Linked DNA regions of Drosophila melanogaster. The protein of the gene in region 4 interacts with the protein of the main gene of each other region in a pairwise test. Each region holds a gene or a part of one and is shown on either strand. Other genes may lie near its edges. The genes, in order: Targ, Spt-I, ninaD and Drip.

Region 1 (5,533 bases), 3.2 Mb from region 4:
CATTAAGAAGCTGCGGGCGAAGTATTGATGAACTTTTGGCCAGAAACATAACTAAACGGAGGTTTTGGATTGGAACCGGTGCTGTGGCAGGTTGAGAGACACGAAATTTTGGTCTGTACAGGCGAACGCTCTGCTTTGATCTGGCTAACACCAAGGTGCTGAACCAATAGTTGGCAAGAAATCTAGTCCAAGGCCGCCATGATGGGATCTATTTTATTTACATTTCAACAGCTACTTCTCTATGGATTCCAGATTTAAGTGTGTAATTCCTCGAATACTGTCGCGAATTGAGCCTTTTCCGGGCCACGGACCAAATGGGTTTTCCTTGTTTGTTCTGCAGTTAATTGCGAATGGATTCGATGCCAGCGAATTTGCAATGTCCAGCTGCCTTGATTTGCAGGCAAATAACAATAAAGAAAAAATAGGCAACGCAACCTTCACTTTACGAATTTTTGCCCCAGCTTGTTTGCAAGTTAAATGCAAACAGAGTGCAGCCAGCCAAACGACAAAGCCCAACAAAAAAAAAAAAAAATAAAACAGAACGAAAAATATACATACAAAGCTGACCCCCTGCGAAAAAAAAAACAACAGAAGTCCACTAGAATAAGTATACGCCGCGTTGGTCGCCGCTCGCTGCTTGCTGTTCTCGGGGCAGTTTTCGCTTTTACGCCGCTATTTTCATTGGAGTCACTGCCGTCCGAGAGTGGCCATGCATGAGGGCTCCCATAAAATTGGGTCAATTGCTGTTAACAATTTGGCAGCGCAATCTTTTGGCCGTTTCGATTTCAAGGCGCTCAGGGGAAAAAAAATCGAAAAATAGGAAAACACAACGTGGGCCATAAAAAACGAGCACGTACGAGCGAACCTTTTGGAAAAAAACAATTTCCGCATAGAGTTGTTGGCCAGGAAAAATAGCCGCTGCAATCGGTGCTCCCCCGCGGGAGAACAGGAAAAATCCAGGGGGGGGGGAAGGTGTAGATGAAGCTGAAGTGGCTGGTCGAAAAGTTTGCTGGCCTTTACGCTAATTAATTAGTGCACTTTGTTTGTAATTCATTTTGCAAAAGCAGGGCTGGCTTAGTTAAAGTTTCCAGGGGCGAGGTTTGTTTCATAAAGCATGGACCGACTGCCTCCAATTCAAGAGCCCGGGCATCACTTTCCATTTAATCAACTGGGGAAACAGTCGACCCCAATACTTCAGCTCTTGTTGCCTTTGAGTGACTGCCAATGAAGTTACTGCCCCTAAAGCTGAGATGCACTTTAGCCGCTCCACTCCAATCGCTCCGCTCTCCGTGCAAAACTCAGACGACTAAGGAATGATTTCATTTACTTACAATCAATGAAATTGCACTGATGCAATTTTGTTTCGGCCCCAAAATAAACAGGCAAGCGGGTGGAACGGAGCTGGGATCGGGTTGTGGCAATAGGGATTCGCCAGGCAAAAGAAGATGGCGATGGCGAGGCGATGGCTAAAAAGTAACAGTTGCAGTGGGGCAATTGCGGAGGAGGAGCAACTGGGGGTCACCAACAAGCAACTACCAACCAACTCCGTTTGTCACGCTCGCCTGGCAGCCATGACAGCATTTGGTAGCCAGGAGCAGCTAATGTCTGGCGACAGTTCCCGAATCCCACGAATCCCCATGAATTCCCGTTCCTGTTGCTGGGGCTTCTCATCTTGCAGCCAGACACGTAGCCAGCCACTGTGCATTGGGTTCGGGTCGAGACGCAGAGAGATTTGTGAAAGATGTCAGGAACACTCTGCGACAGAGTCGAAAAATGAGCAGGAATCGTAGGCGAAGGTGACTGAGTCTGTTCGCCCAGCAAAGCACTCAACTCGACCAAATCCCTCTGTTTTTCAGCTTCCCCAGCAGCCAATATGAAGATAAGACCGCCGCTGCACAGCCAAGTGGAAGTAGCTTGAGATCCCAATCTCTGTCCAGGCTGGACATCTCGGTTCAAAACTCATCCATCTATTACAATGATACGCGAAACACGCGACCACAAATGGTCAGTGTGGCCGTCGGCACAGTTTCAACGGATATCCTGAATGGGCGCACATCATTCTTGTCCCTTAGTCAGTCTCACGGGAGTGAAGTGGATTTGCCTTCGTTCTACGAAAGCTTTAATCCAACTTTTCTTCCCAAGCTGCCTATCAGAAGATTTCCCCATATGCTTGTGGGGGCATCAAATGAGCCTGAGATTTCGAAAAACCAGCCAGCAATTCCACCATCTAGGCCAATTGAGCCAATATCTGAGGTGCCGTTTGTGGAACCGGCCTTTGAGAAAAAATACTCTAGGACCCGTGGATTTAGCAAGGAATTGTCCACACACAGGGATAATGAGAATGAATATATCGAGAGCACAGATGAGGTGTCTCAGATGTTGAGCTTTACTAGCTATACGGATGAATATGATAGGGCAGAACCACTCATTACCAAAACGCAAAAGTTTTATAAAAAGAGTAAGTTATCATAGCGCTGCCTTCCTTTTTACAAAAATGTTTTTTTTTTTATTTTTATTTTATTGTCATGCAATTGAATTTTGTCTAAGCTATTTTTGGCCATTTGCTTGAAATTGAGGAACCTACCAAATGCATTTCTTGTAGCTAAAACTGTAGCCTTCTTACAGGATCCCCCTTGATTCCCAAATACGATTCCGAGGATTCATATGTGGTCCCTAAGGAAACCGATCAACAGGAATCGGGTCTCTCGTTCAATGTAACTACAGTACAGTTGGCCGATACCGCATCGCCGGAATCTTTCAGCGAATACGACGGAAATCGAACGCGCAAGCAATCGTTCGACATGGAAAGTAAAAATTCGAAGGAGTCCTTTGACTTTAGCCGTGGTGGAAGACGACTTGGCTCCGGTATGGTTTTTGTAAGTGAGTGAATAGCATTCTTGTGGTGGTGAATTGAGAAACGAATGACGACTCTTGTCATCCACAGATCTATATGGTGATACCACCGGACGGCGGATTCGGTTGGGTAATCATGGTGCTGTCCTTCCTCGCCCAGCTGATAATCGATGGTTTAATTTTTACCATTGGGGTCTTATTGCCATCCATTGCCCAGGATCTGGATGTCTCCATATCGTCGGTATCGTTTGTGGCCAGTGTCCAGATTGGTTGCTACTTCACTAGCGGAGCGTTTTCTGCTGTCCTGATAAATCGTTTTGGTTTCCGAAAGGTAGCCATCGCTGGGGTCCTGTGTTCCGCAGTTTCAATACTGGCGTCCAGTTGGAGCGTCAGCTTGACCATGCTGATCTTCTTTTACAGCGTCCTTGGTAGGTTGATTCTAGATTGCTGTACGATATTCGATGAATAATAGTACTAGCCTGCGCAGGTGGTATTACGTTGAGCATGATCTGGGCAAGTTCGCAGCTGATTGTTGGCTACTACTTTGAGCGGTACCGTCCGATGGCCAATGGATTTTCCTGCAGCGGTGGCGGTGCGGGCATAGTACTCTTCACGTTCCTCAACAGCTGGCTGGTGCCAATCATCGGATGGAGGAACATGCTGCGGACGCAGGCGGGGCTGATAATGTTGATCCTGTTGATGGTGGTCGCCTATGTGGAGGTGGCTCCCACCCAGGTGGGCATGTACCATTTACCCGGTTCTTCGGATACCAGTTCGGATGAGTATTACGGCAACTTCTACGTGCATGACTATTTACGTCAATCCGCGATGACTGCTAAAAGCCGGAGTATCCTAAGTACATATGAGCCACGCCCAAAAAAGAAAGGATGCGCCAAGTTCTGCCCCTCCTGTTCGAACTGTTGTTGGAGGCGGCGGAAGAAGTCGCAAAATGCTGATGAGCAGAATCTGCTCATCCGCCCGGCGCCCCTGGAGCGGGAGGATCTCTTCTATACGGGTCCTGCCGAATACGAAAAGCCGCACAGCAAGGAGAACGTCGACGGCAAGGAGTTCCTACTAATGGGATCGGATAAGAACGTAAGTGTTGTATTAAGAATAAATTCGCTTCAACTTAAGAACACCACCAACTTTCACTTAGACCCAGCAAGTGAACTATGGCATCAAGAACATTCGTGTGGATGATGAACCCGATAGGATTTCTAGAGTTCATAGGGAACGAAGATGGTCAAACGAGAATCAGAAAAAGCAAAATTCCTGTAGGAATAGCCGGTTTATGCTCACTGTGCTCAAACTATTCGACTACCGCCTGCTGAAACAGTTTGAGTTCAAGATTCTGGTGGCGTCCGCCTTTCTGTTCCCGATGGGCTTTAATATACCCTTTGTTTACTCGTCTGCACGAACCACGATCCCCGTCGAATATGCCCGTATGATCGGCCCCATTATCGGAATTAGTAATCTTGTGATGAGAAACATCCTTGGCATCCTCGCTTACAAAAGGCGTAGTTGGACCCTCGGACTTTGTGGTTGTGGTCTAATTTTCGGTGGTGTTTCCGTTTTGATTAGCGCCTTCTATGGAGAGAACTTGATTTGGTTCCAGTTTCTGTATGGCTTCTCCTATGCTGTAGCGCCTGGTGCGTACATTTACTTACCTTACTTAAGTTTACAATATTACCCTCTCTCATTTCCATGGAATAGCTGTTTATTCCACACTGAGAGGTTTGATATACGTGAAATACCTGGGACTTTCAAAACTGACCAACGCTTTTGGGATTACCTCATTGGCCATGGGAATGGGCGCCTTTATTGGGACTACAATTGCTGGTAAATTGATAGGCATCACGGGAAACTATTCTGCTGCCTTTTGCTTTGCGGGATTATGTCTCATAGTGTCCGGATTTCTGAAGCTTCTGCTGCCCTTGCTTATTAAATGTCGCAACAGGATGGCCCAATGAGGAATTGGACTATTGGAATTGCAATATTTATTGGTTCTCCTGCTTGGAACTTGGGATTGTCTTACAACTAATAGCTTAGGCATTTTTATGACTTTTTTTTACTGGTCCTCGTTCCAAATTCTGAGTAAATGTTTGTATATCCATGTAATTGTTAATTGACCGATGTCATTAACTATTACTTCCTCCTTATTACAGATTTATTTTCAATATAATTTCAATTCAAGTGAGTTCTTTTTGGGGTTGACTTTTATTGCAATCCATTTTAAGTTATTAGTTAGCTTAGTTTACATCTAATATTAGCTTAGTTGCTGAACAACACACTTTGGCTCCACGCTTATAGGTTCAAGTGTGCTGTGTTTGGTTTTTCATTTGGTTTTGTTTCCATTTTTCCTTGTTTGGGTATGCAAATTTTCACGCTTCTTGTTTACTTTGATTTGCTTTCTAAACTTTGTACGTCTACTGTTCAATGTTTTGTTTTTTTTTTCTTCATTTTTTATATTTTATGATGATTTTTTTACATATTATTTAGAGCTAAAGCAACGAAAAAAAAAATATAAATCAATGTGAACACATAAACATAAGAATGTTTGAATCGACATCCGCAGGACGAATGACTCCAATCCTCTGTGTCCTGTGTCTAAATCTTTCTTGTGTTTTTTAATATTGTCAGTAGTCTTCCCCATCGTCGCCTCTAATTTAATCCATTTTTA
Region 2 (4,435 bases), 1.7 Mb from region 4:
TGCTGGCTACCGGCTTAGTGGAGCAAGCCGGACCGAATTGGTAGGTCCCGCAAAGAAGAAGAAGTAAAGTGATGTGATGTGAGGTGAAGTGAAGTGAAAACCACTAACTGGGTTGGCGCGGCGCCGTGTTTATTATTGATATTTATTTTGGTTTTTGGCTCGTGCCCGGCCAGCGAGTTACGTAAAAGAAAAGCCAACGTCAAAATGCAGCTCGAAAACTGGTTGCTCCACCGATTTTCGCACACACCAAGAGATACTTATTGCGCATTGCAAAAAGCGGGTAAAAGCGAAAATACCTAATCGAGGAAATACTGCGCTGGGATGCATCAATTGTGTCATGGAGTTAGTCGGGTGCATTGCTCGATTTATCTGCGAAAGTGGGCATGGTGTAGACATGGTAGCTTCATTCGAGCGCATCAAGTTCAAGAGAAATAGGAAGTGGCTTTTCTTTGCGCTATTTCGGTTTGCCATTATCGCATGGGCAATGCTAACTATAACTATTTGATTGATAGATAGTGATGTGAAAGGTACTTTGATTGGTAGCTACATAGTATAGTTCATCAGTATCAGTTGGCAATTATTTAATAATATTGTAATTTAAGACGAAATGGAACTTGATAAAAATGATTATGTATATTTTAAATACAATCGTGACTTTGAAAGAAGTATTTCCTTGGGTCTAATTGAATAGTGATATAGGTAAATAGTAAATAATTATATGAAATGCAATAGAATTTACTATATATTAAAACAAGGACATTTGCAAGGAAGAGTGAATACTTGTACCTAGACTAGATCGCGACACATAGCGTAAATTGTTGTATCTAGACTACCAGCCAGGTACACCCAAATATACACTTCCCATCACTGCCAATAGAAAAAAGTGTTAATTTCACAGAAAACGACAGCCGCAAGTGGCTGAAAATAAACCAAGGCAATTGCAAAATACTCTTGTTGTCCAGCTGATTTCACTTTGTGCACATACAAGTATCCGTTTCGATTCGCGTGTAATGTGATAAAGTTTTCTTGCAAAATGCAGAACTAACTATATCTCTTTGTTTACATCGGCTTTTTGCGGTGTTCTTTGTCTTCTCGCGGTTTTTATCTCGCGAACTCGAATTTCAGATGGCGCCAGTAACGCGGCTCATTCACATCGGTTGACCGATCGCAGCAGCAGTTCAATGGAAACTGAATGGATCGGCGGTTTGAATTGAATTCGATTTCGTTATTTCCCACCGCACGGTCACACTGCGATCGCTGCTCTGCCTATCGATATAAAATAGTAATCGATCATATATTTGAAATGATAACTAGAAAAGAACCGTTACGTAGCAAGTTTATTTGAGTTCAGTATCATAAAAATATTGATAAAATCTAGGTAATTTTTAATAAAAATTTAAAATCTGTTGTAACTTGTTGTATTTTGTTGTTAGCGAGTCAGCTCGGTGGGACAGGTCAGTGGGACACGTCAGCGGAACAGGTCGGTGGGTCAGATCGGCGGGACAGGTCGGTGGGGCAGGTGGGCGGGACAGGTCGACAGGACCAGGTTTTTGAATAACAAAAAATAAATAAAAACGTCCCCTAGTTCCATATTCCACTGTTCCTCCATCGCCGCCAATTTGGCGCACATCTTAAAGATATCCGCGTATTGGTATTTTTTAGTACATTCGTTCATCCATCTGTTTCGGCGGATATTTCACGCATTTTGCCTATAGTTAACTGAGTTTTGTGGTGAGTGCTCGATTTAAATGGATATTTAATGTAAGAGAATGTTGGAGAAGGGCGTGGTTGCACATTTTTCGCCCACTGGCAATTAGCCTATGTCAGCATACACACCCAATTGAAAAGATTTCCGTACCGTATGGTCGAATGCTTCAATTCTACATATGTATGGGGCATACCCGCGATAAGAAAGCGTCGGCTAGATGACACATAACTTCAGGGAATTAAGGCGGTTTCAATTGATTTTTCACAGAAAGGGCACGGAACCAGACTGTCAAAATGGTGGCCATCCAATTGTTCAACGAAATCGGCAGTATTTTCCGAAACGTAAGTTTGCATTCGCCTTTTTCACCACATTTAGCTTACTCCAGTTTCTACTCCTTCCACAGACCCCCACGTTTGCTCTCGTCTTGGAGACCCTACTGCTCATAACCGTGATTTGGTTGCTGCTCCACAGACGAGGAGGAGGTCGTCGCCGACAGCTGACCAAGGAGGAGGAAGACCGAATAATCGCCGACTATGAACCAGAGCCCTTGGTGGCCGACACCGATCCCAATCATCCCCTGCTGCACACCCGCGTTGTGCAGTCCAGGGTGGGCAAGCGCATCCAGGTCGATGGACACGACTGCCTAAATCTTGGCTCTCACAACTATCTTGGCTTCCTCGAGGACCAGGAGATACTGGAGGAGGCCTGCAAGTCGCTGCGCAAGTACGGAGTTGGATCTTGCGGACCTCGGGGCTTCTACGGCACTATGGACGTGCATCTGGACCTGGAGGATCGTATTGCCAAGTTCATGGGCCTGGAGGAGGCCATTGTCTATTCCTACGGCTTCTCGACCGTGGCCAGTGCCATTCCGGCGTATGCCAAACGTGGCGACCTTATCTTTGTGTAGGATTGTCTACTTCACCTACTCAGATTGGCGACTAATTACTTGTTATTTGTAGGGATGAGGCTGTCAACTTTGCCATTCAGAAGGGTCTGGATGCTTCACGAAGCACAATCGTTTTCTTTAAGCACAATGACGTTGAGGATCTAGAACGTCTGCTGATTGAGCAAGAAAAACGAGACCAGAAAAATCCGAAAAAGGCGGCTAAGACACGTCGCTTCCTCGTCGCCGAGGGTATCTATATGAATACGGGCGAGATTTGCCCACTTCCCGACCTGGTGGCCTTGCGTCAGAAGTACAAGCTGCGTTTGTTCATCGACGAAAGCATCTCCTTTGGCACATTGGGCCAGGGTGGTCACGGAGTTACGGAGCACTTTAATGTCGATGTAGGTGGTAAACCGGAAAGAAAAACTAAAATTATAACTGGTATTTTTCTTTTAGCGTGATGAAGTCGATCTGATATCGGCCGGCATGGAGGGTTCGATGGCAACAGTCGGTGGCTTCTGTGTTGGCTCGCACTTCATAGCCGAGCACCAGCGCCTCTCTGGCTTGGGCTACATCTTCTCGGCCTCGCTGCCGCCCATGCTCACCCAGGCGGCTATTTCAGCGTTGGATCGTTTCGAACGAGAACCACAAATCTTCGAGCAGCTGCAGGCAAAGTCTAAGACGTTGCACCAGAAGTTTTTGCGATTCAGCAAGCTAACCCTGCGCGGCGATGAGGTGTCACCAGTGAAGCACTTGTATCTTGCCCAGCCCGCCGAGAACTTTGACAAGGAACTGAAACTTCTAACAGAGCTGGCTGATAAGGTAGGCATTTTATTTCCCCATGCAATTATGAAAACTATACATTTCTACTCACTTTTCCCAGTGCATTGCTCGTGGAGTGGCTGTGGTACAGGCTGCCTACCTGCAGAACAGGGAACGCCAACCAGTCCGTCCCAGCATTCGCATTGCTGTCAACCGTTTGCTGGAGAGTTCGGAAATAGACAATGCGTTTGAGGTCATCGAGAGTGTTTCCAGCTCCGTCCTATAAGCCTTGTTGTTGGAAAGGAATGATCTTCTTTCGACAATGGCCTTGCTGTTAAGTTTTAAGGCCTGCTGGCCCCATCATTTTTTCATCACTTCTTCACGACCAGTCCAGTATGAATTGTTTAAGTTAATAGCTAGCCTTGCACTTGCTCTTTGCACTTTGTTGCATTGCATTTTAATGAAAAATTTTAAGTCTAGGAAAACTTTCAAAGATTACACGTTATAGATAACAGAGCTGGTTAAATAAAACTATTAAGTTTATTTGGTAGTTACGTGCCCTTTTATTGGTGTTTCTTATCGCCTGCGCAATCGCAAACGTTTTTGAATATCCCGATAAAGATAAGGGTAATATTATGTGGCATTTGTTGTAAAATTTACAAGAACAACTTCCACAAAGAAACATTCATTATTTATTTATGTTTTTCTTGCATGACAATTAAGATACACATCACACGCTTAATAATAACTAATATGTGGAATAAGCCAGATGGAATGGAAATGCTTTGAAACGATTTGATTGCCAGTGGAGCAGAGCTGTTTCCGAGTGGCGACCTAATCTGTGAGCAATAATCATAACCCTTCGACTTTCAAACCCATGTTTGTGCATTCGATTCACTGATGAACTTGACAACGACGACCCCAAATCATGATGTTGTGCACATAGCGCTCTGATTTCGATGCCGATATGCCAGCCGGCAATCAGCGCCAATTGAGCGTATACGTACTATGAACTTGGGTGCGGTGCTATCAGTGCGAATACGCAACATTTGGCGACAAAAACATGCAATTACAGCAAT
Region 3 (4,179 bases), on a different chromosome or scaffold from region 4:
TTTGGCATAATTGTTTCATATGCTGTGAAGGTCAAGCTTTTCTTGGGAGCCCTGGGCGGCGAGCTCTGCGCTGAGCTACCATTTATTCTGATGCACCCGAAGGTAATAAAAGGTGTGCCCAAATATTTGAATAGTTATTGAAAGGCAATCAATTATTTACAGCCAAGTCGCAAGGCCCAACTGGAAGCCGAGGGCTCCATTGAGGCCTAAACTGAAAGGGCTACCTCAACCAACGAAAAAAATGGCGTATTTCTACAAGTCAAACCGATTTTTGTAGATCCTAAAAAATGCTGATGTTGCTGAAATGTTCTGAACTGCAGTCGTCGTACTTTTCCTATATAGCAAATCCAATATCCATATATTGTATGTGTGTATGTGTATTATATTTATAACTCAACTAACAATTAAATATGAACAGAGTTTATGTATGTATTTTGGAGTATTCTATTGAATTTAGCACGGTGTATTTGAAAAGGCTCCAGCATTGAAAGTTTGTATGGAATGCGCACTAAATATTTAATAATGTGCTTACGAAGGCATTTCGTAGTATTTGATATCTTGCAATGTCTGCTGATTATGTACATTGAAGTGCAATGGGGAAATCAACAGAAGCCAGTGCAATCTATTCAATTACTAATAGTGGGTCTTGCATTTGTGGCTTAGTAATTCCAATTATTGCTACTCTGAAAAGCCGAGGAGCAGCCTAATTAATACTTGGCCACTATGCTGGAGGAAGTTTACTGAACTGAATTCGAGTAAGGAAAATGGACAATAATTGATATAATATGGTGAGCTTCTTGCTGGACTTTGAAATCGTAAAATTTAAGCGAACACACTTCAAACGCATCCATTTAATTTGTGAATGTTTGCAGTCCCACTTTTAATAAGCACCCAATATTAACGATAACGCCACTCTAATCAAAATTTTCCAATAGTCAGGGTTGAAATACTGATCAATCACGCTGCCAACATTTCGGCAGACCAGGTGGGTAATGAGTTTAAAATGGTTTTGCGTAATGGGATTAATCGAATTTCATTAAGGAAGATTAGATTGCCGTCTTTGGAAGTGATCTTTTATAGTGGCTGACCATAAAAATTGCATTGCAAATACTAATTTAAGCATACATGCTATATAACCGATAAGATGGGCGAGCGTCAAGGCAAAAATAGTTGACCGTATTAATAGTTTAATCAACTAGCTTCAAGTTAATTTATAATGCGAATTAGGAAGCACTCTGGCATGCTATTAAAAACTTAAGAACTGATAAACGAAACTTAATTCCTAAAATAAAAATGTACCTAATTACTTTTATATACTATTATAAATAAAATTGTACCATGTATCGTTAAATTTGATTTAGTTACCAAGTGGTATTTGGTACGTGGCAGCATGAAATAGCTACTACTGCTAGTCTGGCTGATTAGCCAGCACTCTCAATAAACTAAGTGCAGCGTTTTGCATTTATCAGGATTTTTGGTACTCTAAACACACACTTAGATCCCAATCACCCCACAGAATAAGTTGAGCAAACCAAACCGAGCTGATTACCACAGTAGACATGATGATTAGCCGCTGCTTTATTTACTAGTGGATAATCTACTAAGCGACGCATGAATAAAAACTCGAGCGATATTTTTCCACTTTGCAGTCGCTCGAAAGCCTTTGTTTCGTCTCTCAATATGTGCTGCAGCTGCTGTGGGGTGACCCAACAAAAGGCCTGGGTCTTCGGCCTGGGAACCTTTTTCGCGGTCTCCGGACTCCTGGCCATAATATGCTGGCCTGGCTTTATAGACTCAGGGATTATGAAGGTGAGAGGCGGTGTATAAAAATAAAATTAAGGAGGAGTACTAATCGATTTATTAAAAAGGCCTTGCCGTTGACACCCACTTCAAAGACTTTTGAAAAATGGGAGGAGCTGCCCATTCCGGTGTATGTCTACATGTATCTTTGGAACTGGACAAATGCCGCAGATGTGCAGGCTAATGGAGTAAAACCTATTTTCGCGCAACTTGGACCCTATGTTTATCGAGAGGAGAGGAAGAAGATGGATCTTGAGTGGCACGACAATGGCACAGTTACCTTTAACCCCAGAAGAACTTGGTTCTGGGAAGAGGAGCTCTCTGGCGGCAAGCAAACGGATTTAATTACCGCCCCACATTTACCTTCATTGGTAGGAAATAAGCAGTTATTAAAAAACAATTTGGTCTAAAAGAAGTTTTCCTTTTTCACTTTTTGCAGGCTGCTTCAAACCAAATGCGGAATAGCAACGTCTTCCTGAAATTCATGTTCAACGAGGCCCTAAATGCGAATGGTGGACATCTCTTTGTGACCCACACGGCAGCTGAATGGCTGTTCGAAAGTTTCTACGACGAATTTTTGCATTACGCCATGACCCTGAATAATCCATTGGTCCCAAAAATCGAGTCGGATCACTTTGCCTGGTTCCTCAACCGTAACGGATCGAAGGACTTCGAGGGTCCCTTCACTGTACACACCGGAGTGGGTGACATCAAGGAGATGGGTGAAATTAAGTATTGGAAGGGCCAGAATCACACGGGATGGTACGATGGAGAATGTGGACGTCTCAATGGCAGCACCACGGATCTTTTTGTGCCCGATGAGCCCAAGGAGAAGGCTTTGACCATCTTCATTCCGGATACTTGTCGGATCATAAATCTTGAGTTCACCGGACAGAGCGAAACAATTCAGGGCATCACGGGTTGGAAGTACGAGATAACGCCGAATACCTTCGACAATGGACAGATCAATGGTAACGCGAAGTGCTGGTGTCCTTTGGAGCGCCAGCCAGATAATTGTCCTGCAACCGGAGCCACTGACCTAGGACCGTGTGCCGATGGAGTTCCCATGTACCTTTCTGCGGATCATTTTATGTACGCGGACGAAAGTTATGGCAGCACGATAAGCGGCTACAATCCGAATTACGATCAAAATAACTTTTATATCATCATGGAGCGCAAGATGGGAGTGCCGTTGAAGGTCAATGCCAATGTGATGATTACCTTGTACATAGAGCCAGACAGCGTTATAGAGTAATTATTTACAATAATTGTTGCCTACCATATATATGACTTGATAAACACATTTTTTCCTAGCATACTGAAGGGCCTGCCCAGCTTCTATGCACCACTTTTTACCACTGCTAGTCGAGCGGAAATCGACGAAGCCCTCGCCTCAGAACTTAGGGTATGTTTTAGAGCTTGTTGAACTACGTTGATTTCTATTTTAAATAATGCATTTTGTCTTTTAGTTGGCACTGAATCTACCGGCTATAGGGAGATATACTGGAGTGGGATTCCTGTGCCTGGGCTGCATTCTTATAGCAGTTGGCATCTTACTTACCATTAAGAGGAAGTGGTATGGCCAGGCCGAGTTGGACAAACTGGCTCTCAAGGATAACGAGGAAACTCCATATGAACCGGAAGTTCCGGCCAACGTGGTCGAACGAAACTTTTAATTTAGTATTAACATTTTTTTTAATGAGCAGCACACGGATGTGATTCAAAAAACATATATGTGATAAATAACTCTAAACATTTTTTATTCTAGCTTTAAAATATAAAACTTCTAAACAACTGAAAAAATTAATAAAATTTAAAAAACTCATATAACTATTGTCTTCATTTTACAATAATTAAATTAGTTAAAGCTTATATTTATCTATGTGGTTTTTTAAATGATTGAGTGAATGAATTTATAGAAGCTTGTACACAAATTTAAATAGGCTCTTTAAATAAAGGTTTTATTTTAGAACATTTTTTAATTGTTTTTAAAATTAAAATTCAAACATCATCTGTGTGTCTTTTTTAGTTTATAATTAATTCATATACACAAAAGAAAAAGAAAATTAAATAAAATCATTAAAATTAAGATTTAAAAAACTCAACAAATTTGTATAATAGTTATGTGATTCCTATACCTATTTAAACGATTTCGTATCTCAGTTGTATTTTCTTTTTTACAGTGCATCTAATGATTTATCTAATGAGTGAAACGAAATATAATCACAAAACTTCGTATAACATTTAACTCAGGCCGTAAAACAAGCCACTTGAAAAAGCTTTCGGAGATTAGCCTATCAGAAGCGTTCCAAGTGGAGAATTCAAAACAAATATAAAAATAAAAAAATCACCTGTTAATTTGCTCTTGAAATCTAATCT
Region 4 (5,049 bases):
AACAATTAATCAATTTAATCGGATTATTAATTTCGGCTTTGCGCAACTCTTGGGCACTTTTGTTCGGCAAGGTGATGATTTTATTAATAACAGTCGCGGGAAAGATCGAAACCTGTTCGCTGGCTATTAAAATCGTTATAAATTAATTAGTCAGATGGGCAGGGGACTATTCAGTTTTCGTTTGCTCGTTTGCTGTGCGGGAGGAGTACGTTCAAACTCACTTATAATCTTTATGGGCTTTTGCTCCAAACGAATTTATGTCGCTTAACTCGTTTACAATGCACCATAAATCAAAGGCAATTTATTGGGGTTTGTGGTTTATGACTAACTTTGGAAGTTTGTCAATTAATGGCGATAATTTGAGACGACACGATAGGGAAAATTGGGAGACTGAAAGGCTGTTTTTCAGGCACATAATGGATGGCATTTTAAAAGGCAACAAAGTTGTATTTCTTTCGGATTGTTTTTTTAAATTTGCAAAATATGCAATTTGTACACCAAAGCGGACTAAATTTTCGGTATGGCACACAGTCACTTCTACATCAAATCAATAGATATATGAACATTCCAATTATTTTCCGTAAACTTAATTGAACGTTACGTGAATCAAAAACTTTCCATGGGAACCGAACATCTTCGCTTCTGTGCATCTCAATGGCAGCTTATTATCTTAATTATAAGCTATCCGATTAACAAACAAGTTGATCTTCCATTGAGAACGGAGCTCGGTTGGATGGAATTAAGTAAATGGGGATGTGCACTAACTGTGTTAAATGTCTAAATGTTCTCCAGTCATACCAAAAACCATTTCCTGGCCTTAAGTTTGCTACTGTTTTGAATGCCAATTTCACCGTGATGTCATGTCAACTCCGCGCACGATTATTACTGTAATTTTGTTATATCTGCGAATCCGTCGCCACAAAAACAGCAGCTACTAACGTCAGGTGGAAGTCTGTCTACACATATATATATATATATATATATGTATAAAGTGATGTTGGTCCAAGATGACAACGCATTGAATTATGAGGCGGAGAAGACATTAAGCGAAAGAGGGATATCAAATTAGCCACACGTTTGTACTATAATTTGCAGAATTTCAGCGCCAAAGGGCTGCGAATTTCTCACGCACCTCACTCGACTATTTTTAAACGCTTACTGGTCTCAAAATTCCACCCGAGCATTAAGCAGCCACGTTAAGTGAACATATTTAATATCTAAATCAAATATTGAGCCCTGTGTTTAAACACTTGATCAAATAGATGCTCAGGCGTTGACATTAATTAGCTGGAACCGAGAATTCTTGGCTTGGCAAATGAGTATTCAGTGCCGGGTAAATATTATGGTCATTATCACAACGATATCGGCGGAACAGGCGGCGAAAATGACGCCAGAGGTTGGCTTTAATTCTGCGAAGCAACCAGAGGAATGCAATTAGGTTTTTAATTAATTTGACTGTTCAGATCGCACAAATAAAAGTTCCTACTTATTTGGCTCTTAGGGTGTTTTCCTCCAGTTCATTCACTTGACTGACTTGACTCGGTTCGGTGTGGTTTTATTGCTTTCGTTGGGGAGCCATCAACATCATCATCGCATAAATTGCCTCGGCCGGAGTTTCCGCTGTTGTTTACCTAGCTAAGTTTTCTCCTATCTATCTTTTTTTTTTCTTTCCAGGCTTTTCTGTCATGCAAACTTTCAGTTACAGAAATCATCATCAATCGCCACGGAAGCTAAATCAAAGCAACAAAAAACTACGTCTAACTATAAAAAAAAAAATAACTCGGGGCTAATTTGCTGTCTTTGTCATGCTGTGTCAGAGAAATTATTGAAAACCAATCATCTCGTTATCGTTATCGACAGGCGGGCTACTCTTTGATTCGCCCAACCACCCAAAACAAAGAAAGAAAAAAAAGAAAAAGATGATTTATCAAAACATCTTTCGATGGCTTATTAAAGTTGATTAATTGTGAAGGAATGATTAATTTAAGGCAAATTTTGGGTTACTATTTGTTTGCTTTGAAAGTGAAATCCAAAGAGGGGCCTATTTTGCAATAAACAAACTGGGTGCTTTATTAAATCAAAAGTAGATTTGTTAAAACTGTATTCATTACAAATTTTATGGTTTACTTTTGATCGTTTTATTTTAATGTAAAAAAACATAAGGATTGATACACTGGCAATAGCAAATTGCAAACGATTTCGATCAATAGTTTTGGAAATTATACACTCTCATTGGTTTGTGATATTATTCAAGCAAAAGTTGAAAGCCCCAAAAGAGTGGGATTAACTTTCGCACAAAACCATAACAATTTGCCGCACTCTCGCCCCCAAATTTTGCTCGCAATTAACCTTCGCACACACGCACACGCATATTTCGCATTCTCCAGCCTCCAATCGCCAATCACTCACCTGTTTTCTCGACCATTTTGCTGTCTTCTGTCTTCGGTCTTCTGGCTACGATCTACTGTCTTCTGGGGGCTGCCACTTGAGATTTTTGGCAAGCGTGGGGGGTTTCGAAGCGAACTTGTGCTTTGCTTTCGTTTTCAAAGCGTGCTTTTTGCCTTATTGCTTTTTGCTGCGGGTAAAAGTGAGTTAGCGCGCACTCGAATCGAACTGAATTGTGCCAATAGTTTTTTGTGGCCGAAATATAATTGTTAAGGTTAAGAGTCTTGAGGTTGCACAATTGTCTGCCACTTGACCACACGGAGTCGAATATGGGGCGGAAAGCGGTGTTGTTATCAATTTAATTTCACCCGATTGACTTATTTTCTTCACTGGGCTACAATATTTTCAGATTTCCTTTTCGAAATTGGAAAGCGCAACGTGCAATAACTCGATTTTATTATTAGTTTATTATTATCGCCAATTAAACTAACCGCTCCGAACTCGATTTCCTTTTCGGATTTTCGAAACTGCCGCTTTTCTTTCTCGCAGTTTGTACTGTAGTGCTGTAGTGCTTAAAGCTGTGCTACCACGTTCGCTGCTCGAGCGCAAATAAGCGTTGCCAACGCTGCGACTGTAACTGATATACTCTCTGCCGCGGTCGTCGTCGCGGTCGGCGTCGCAGTCGCGTCGCCGTCACTGCCCCATTCAGATTTTTTAGTTTTGGGGCTTGGCCACCGCGGAGCTCCGCATGTATCCACTTGGACGCCTCAAAGGATCTAAGCTCGGAATACACCTACCCCGGATGACTTAATCGAATGGGGGCGCGAAAACATTTGTAATGACTCTTGTGGCTTTTGATGGCTCTGTTTTGGCCAAAGTGAGTTGCTTGCCAAATACTACAATAAATCCCTACTTTGCCCTTCGAAAGTAGCTCTCAGTTAGTTCTGAGTGAAATTAGTCAGTATAACTTGTGGCGTAATTGTTTTTTAAAACAAAACGTATGAGTATGAGTAATACCCCATTCGAGTCTACCCCATAACACGAAACATTTTCCAGTCATGGTCTTATCAGCTGCTAACCGTTACTGATGATATATGGACTCTCCCCCAAAGTTATTCTATAACCAATTGGCATAACATCGGTTTAAATCAACTGTTTCATATCCGAAAAAGCCACTCAAGGGCCTTAGTCTTTAGACGAATCACATAGATATAATATAGATAAGATAGGCACATATGTACATATATCCATGTATAAGATATATATACAATAGAAAATGGTTGTCTTGCTTAGTCTTTGGTAAATGTGATGTGATAATCACATAAAAGCTCCCAAAATATAGCATTGCTTATATGGTGCCAATTAAAAACCAATGAATTGCAATTAGCCGACAGATGGCCAAGTTCATAATCGAATTGTTATTGACCATGGGGAAAGTTCACAGCCATTTTGGGTTTTTGCACACAGCCTAAGAACTATTATTCGCCTGCCATTTTGTTCACTTGATATATGGACACTCAAGGAGCCATAAACACATTTTTGATTAATCTAATTGCGCTGGTCATGCCGAACCTCAGACTCAATTATCGCATAGCTAAGATGTTATCATTACAGGGGGTTTTTGACTTTTGATAATCCACAAACGCTGCACGTGACTGTTTGAACCACCCACCAAACGGTTGTACTAGACCTACCACCCACCCACTCAACCATTCCAATGCCGGAACAGTTTTCATTTTCTTTTAATGGCACCTTATTGCAGCTTTTCCAACTTAAAACGCGGCTAATGGGTTATGGACGGTTGGGCCGTTATCAGTTTCACTTTTAAACAGCTTTTCACCAACTTTAATATGCCATATTGATTGCGGGGCTTTGCTGGTGAAAAGGGCTTTTACCTTGTCGTCGTCGCGGGCTATTTTTATCTCTTAACAGAGCAACAGTTGCGAGTTATTGACAAAACAAGTGACAAGCCAAAATAAAAGAAGACTCGCTCGCCAAGAGCTGCGATTTTGTTTGTGGGGAAGCGTCTTGGCCCATTATGAAAACAAGAGCCAAATCGCAGACGGACTTATTTGTGCCTTCGCATGGGGAATTCAAGCGAAGTATGTATGTATGTACATGCCGGGGCTCTTTTGCTTTAATGAGTAATTATATTTAATGGCAGTTAAGCATTAAAATGGCACAAACTCTGGCTAAATGGGCGAGATAATAATCGCCGATGTGGAGATGGTATATGCCTGTCGAATTACCAATAGATCTTGGCTCCTTTTCAACTGGAGTTTCATTCACCAAAGTGAGTTTGCCCAACGATACCAATTAAAAGTATAATTTTATCTAGTAACTAGATGGGAATAGTTGAAATCATCAAATTAGATTCGCTTTAATTGTTATTAAGCAGTTGCAGATTATCTACTATAGGTTTGTAAAATAGATTTAACAAAACTTTGAATTCATCGAAAGGCACAAAGTAAAAACTCAGAATTAGACATTGGAAATAATTGTTGTTAATGCTAGTTACAGATAGTACGTAGCTGTTGTGGGTAAATTACCAAAATTGTTTATTTCCCTCTTTAGAACTTATACTGAAAATATTATTAAGATATCATTTAAGTTTAATAATCTAGTAGGATATAATCAATAAGTAATACTGGAAATCCCGCTGAT

What was found.
Region 1: the proteins of Drip (region 4) and Targ interact in a two-hybrid assay, tested with the Drosophila melanogaster proteins (one large-scale study listed by BioGRID).
Region 2: the proteins of Drip (region 4) and Spt-I interact in a two-hybrid assay, tested with the Drosophila melanogaster proteins (one large-scale study listed by BioGRID).
Region 3: the proteins of Drip (region 4) and ninaD interact in a two-hybrid assay, tested with the Drosophila melanogaster proteins (one large-scale study listed by BioGRID).

What each region holds. Positions count from the first base shown.
Region 1 is NT_033778.4:14,666,643-14,672,175, forward strand, and holds Targ (tarag), read left to right. Parts: upstream 1-1,748; 5' UTR 1,749-1,773; coding exon 1,774-1,796; intron 1,797-1,805; exon of another isoform or gene 1,806-1,856; coding exon 1,857-2,458; intron 2,459-2,625; coding exon 2,626-2,876; coding exon of another isoform or gene 2,877-2,880; intron 2,881-2,944; coding exon 2,945-3,281; intron 3,282-3,331; coding exon 3,332-3,948; intron 3,949-4,009; coding exon 4,010-4,502; intron 4,503-4,566; coding exon 4,567-4,823; 3' UTR 4,824-5,033; downstream 5,034-5,533. Other genes in the region: CG12860 (uncharacterized protein), read right to left, coding at 1-49.
Region 2 is NT_033778.4:13,166,840-13,171,274, forward strand, and holds Spt-I (serine palmitoyltransferase subunit I), read left to right. Parts: upstream 1-1,658; 5' UTR 1,659-1,731; exon of another isoform or gene 1,732-1,975; 5' UTR 1,976-2,001; coding exon 2,002-2,049; exon of another isoform or gene 2,050-2,111; coding exon 2,112-2,611; exon of another isoform or gene 2,612-2,667; coding exon 2,668-2,995; exon of another isoform or gene 2,996-3,050; coding exon 3,051-3,416; intron 3,417-3,468; exon of another isoform or gene 3,469-3,477; coding exon 3,478-3,642; 3' UTR 3,643-3,905; downstream 3,906-4,435.
Region 3 is NT_033779.5:18,079,985-18,084,163, forward strand, and holds ninaD (neither inactivation nor afterpotential D), read left to right. Parts: upstream 1-1,643; 5' UTR 1,644-1,680; coding exon 1,681-1,809; intron 1,810-1,868; coding exon 1,869-2,171; intron 2,172-2,239; coding exon 2,240-3,051; coding exon of another isoform or gene 3,052-3,055; exon of another isoform or gene 3,056-3,112; intron 3,113-3,114; coding exon 3,115-3,205; intron 3,206-3,269; coding exon 3,270-3,476; 3' UTR 3,477-3,624; downstream 3,625-4,179. Other genes in the region: Arr1 (arrestin 1), read left to right, coding at 1-102, 163-210.
Region 4 is NT_033778.4:11,426,644-11,431,692, forward strand, and holds the start of Drip (drip), read right to left. Parts: upstream 3,003-5,049; 5' UTR 2,426-3,002; coding exon 2,410-2,425; intron 1,161-2,409; exon of another isoform or gene 809-1,160; coding exon of another isoform or gene 799-808; intron 1-798. UniProt on the Drosophila melanogaster protein: Forms a water-specific channel.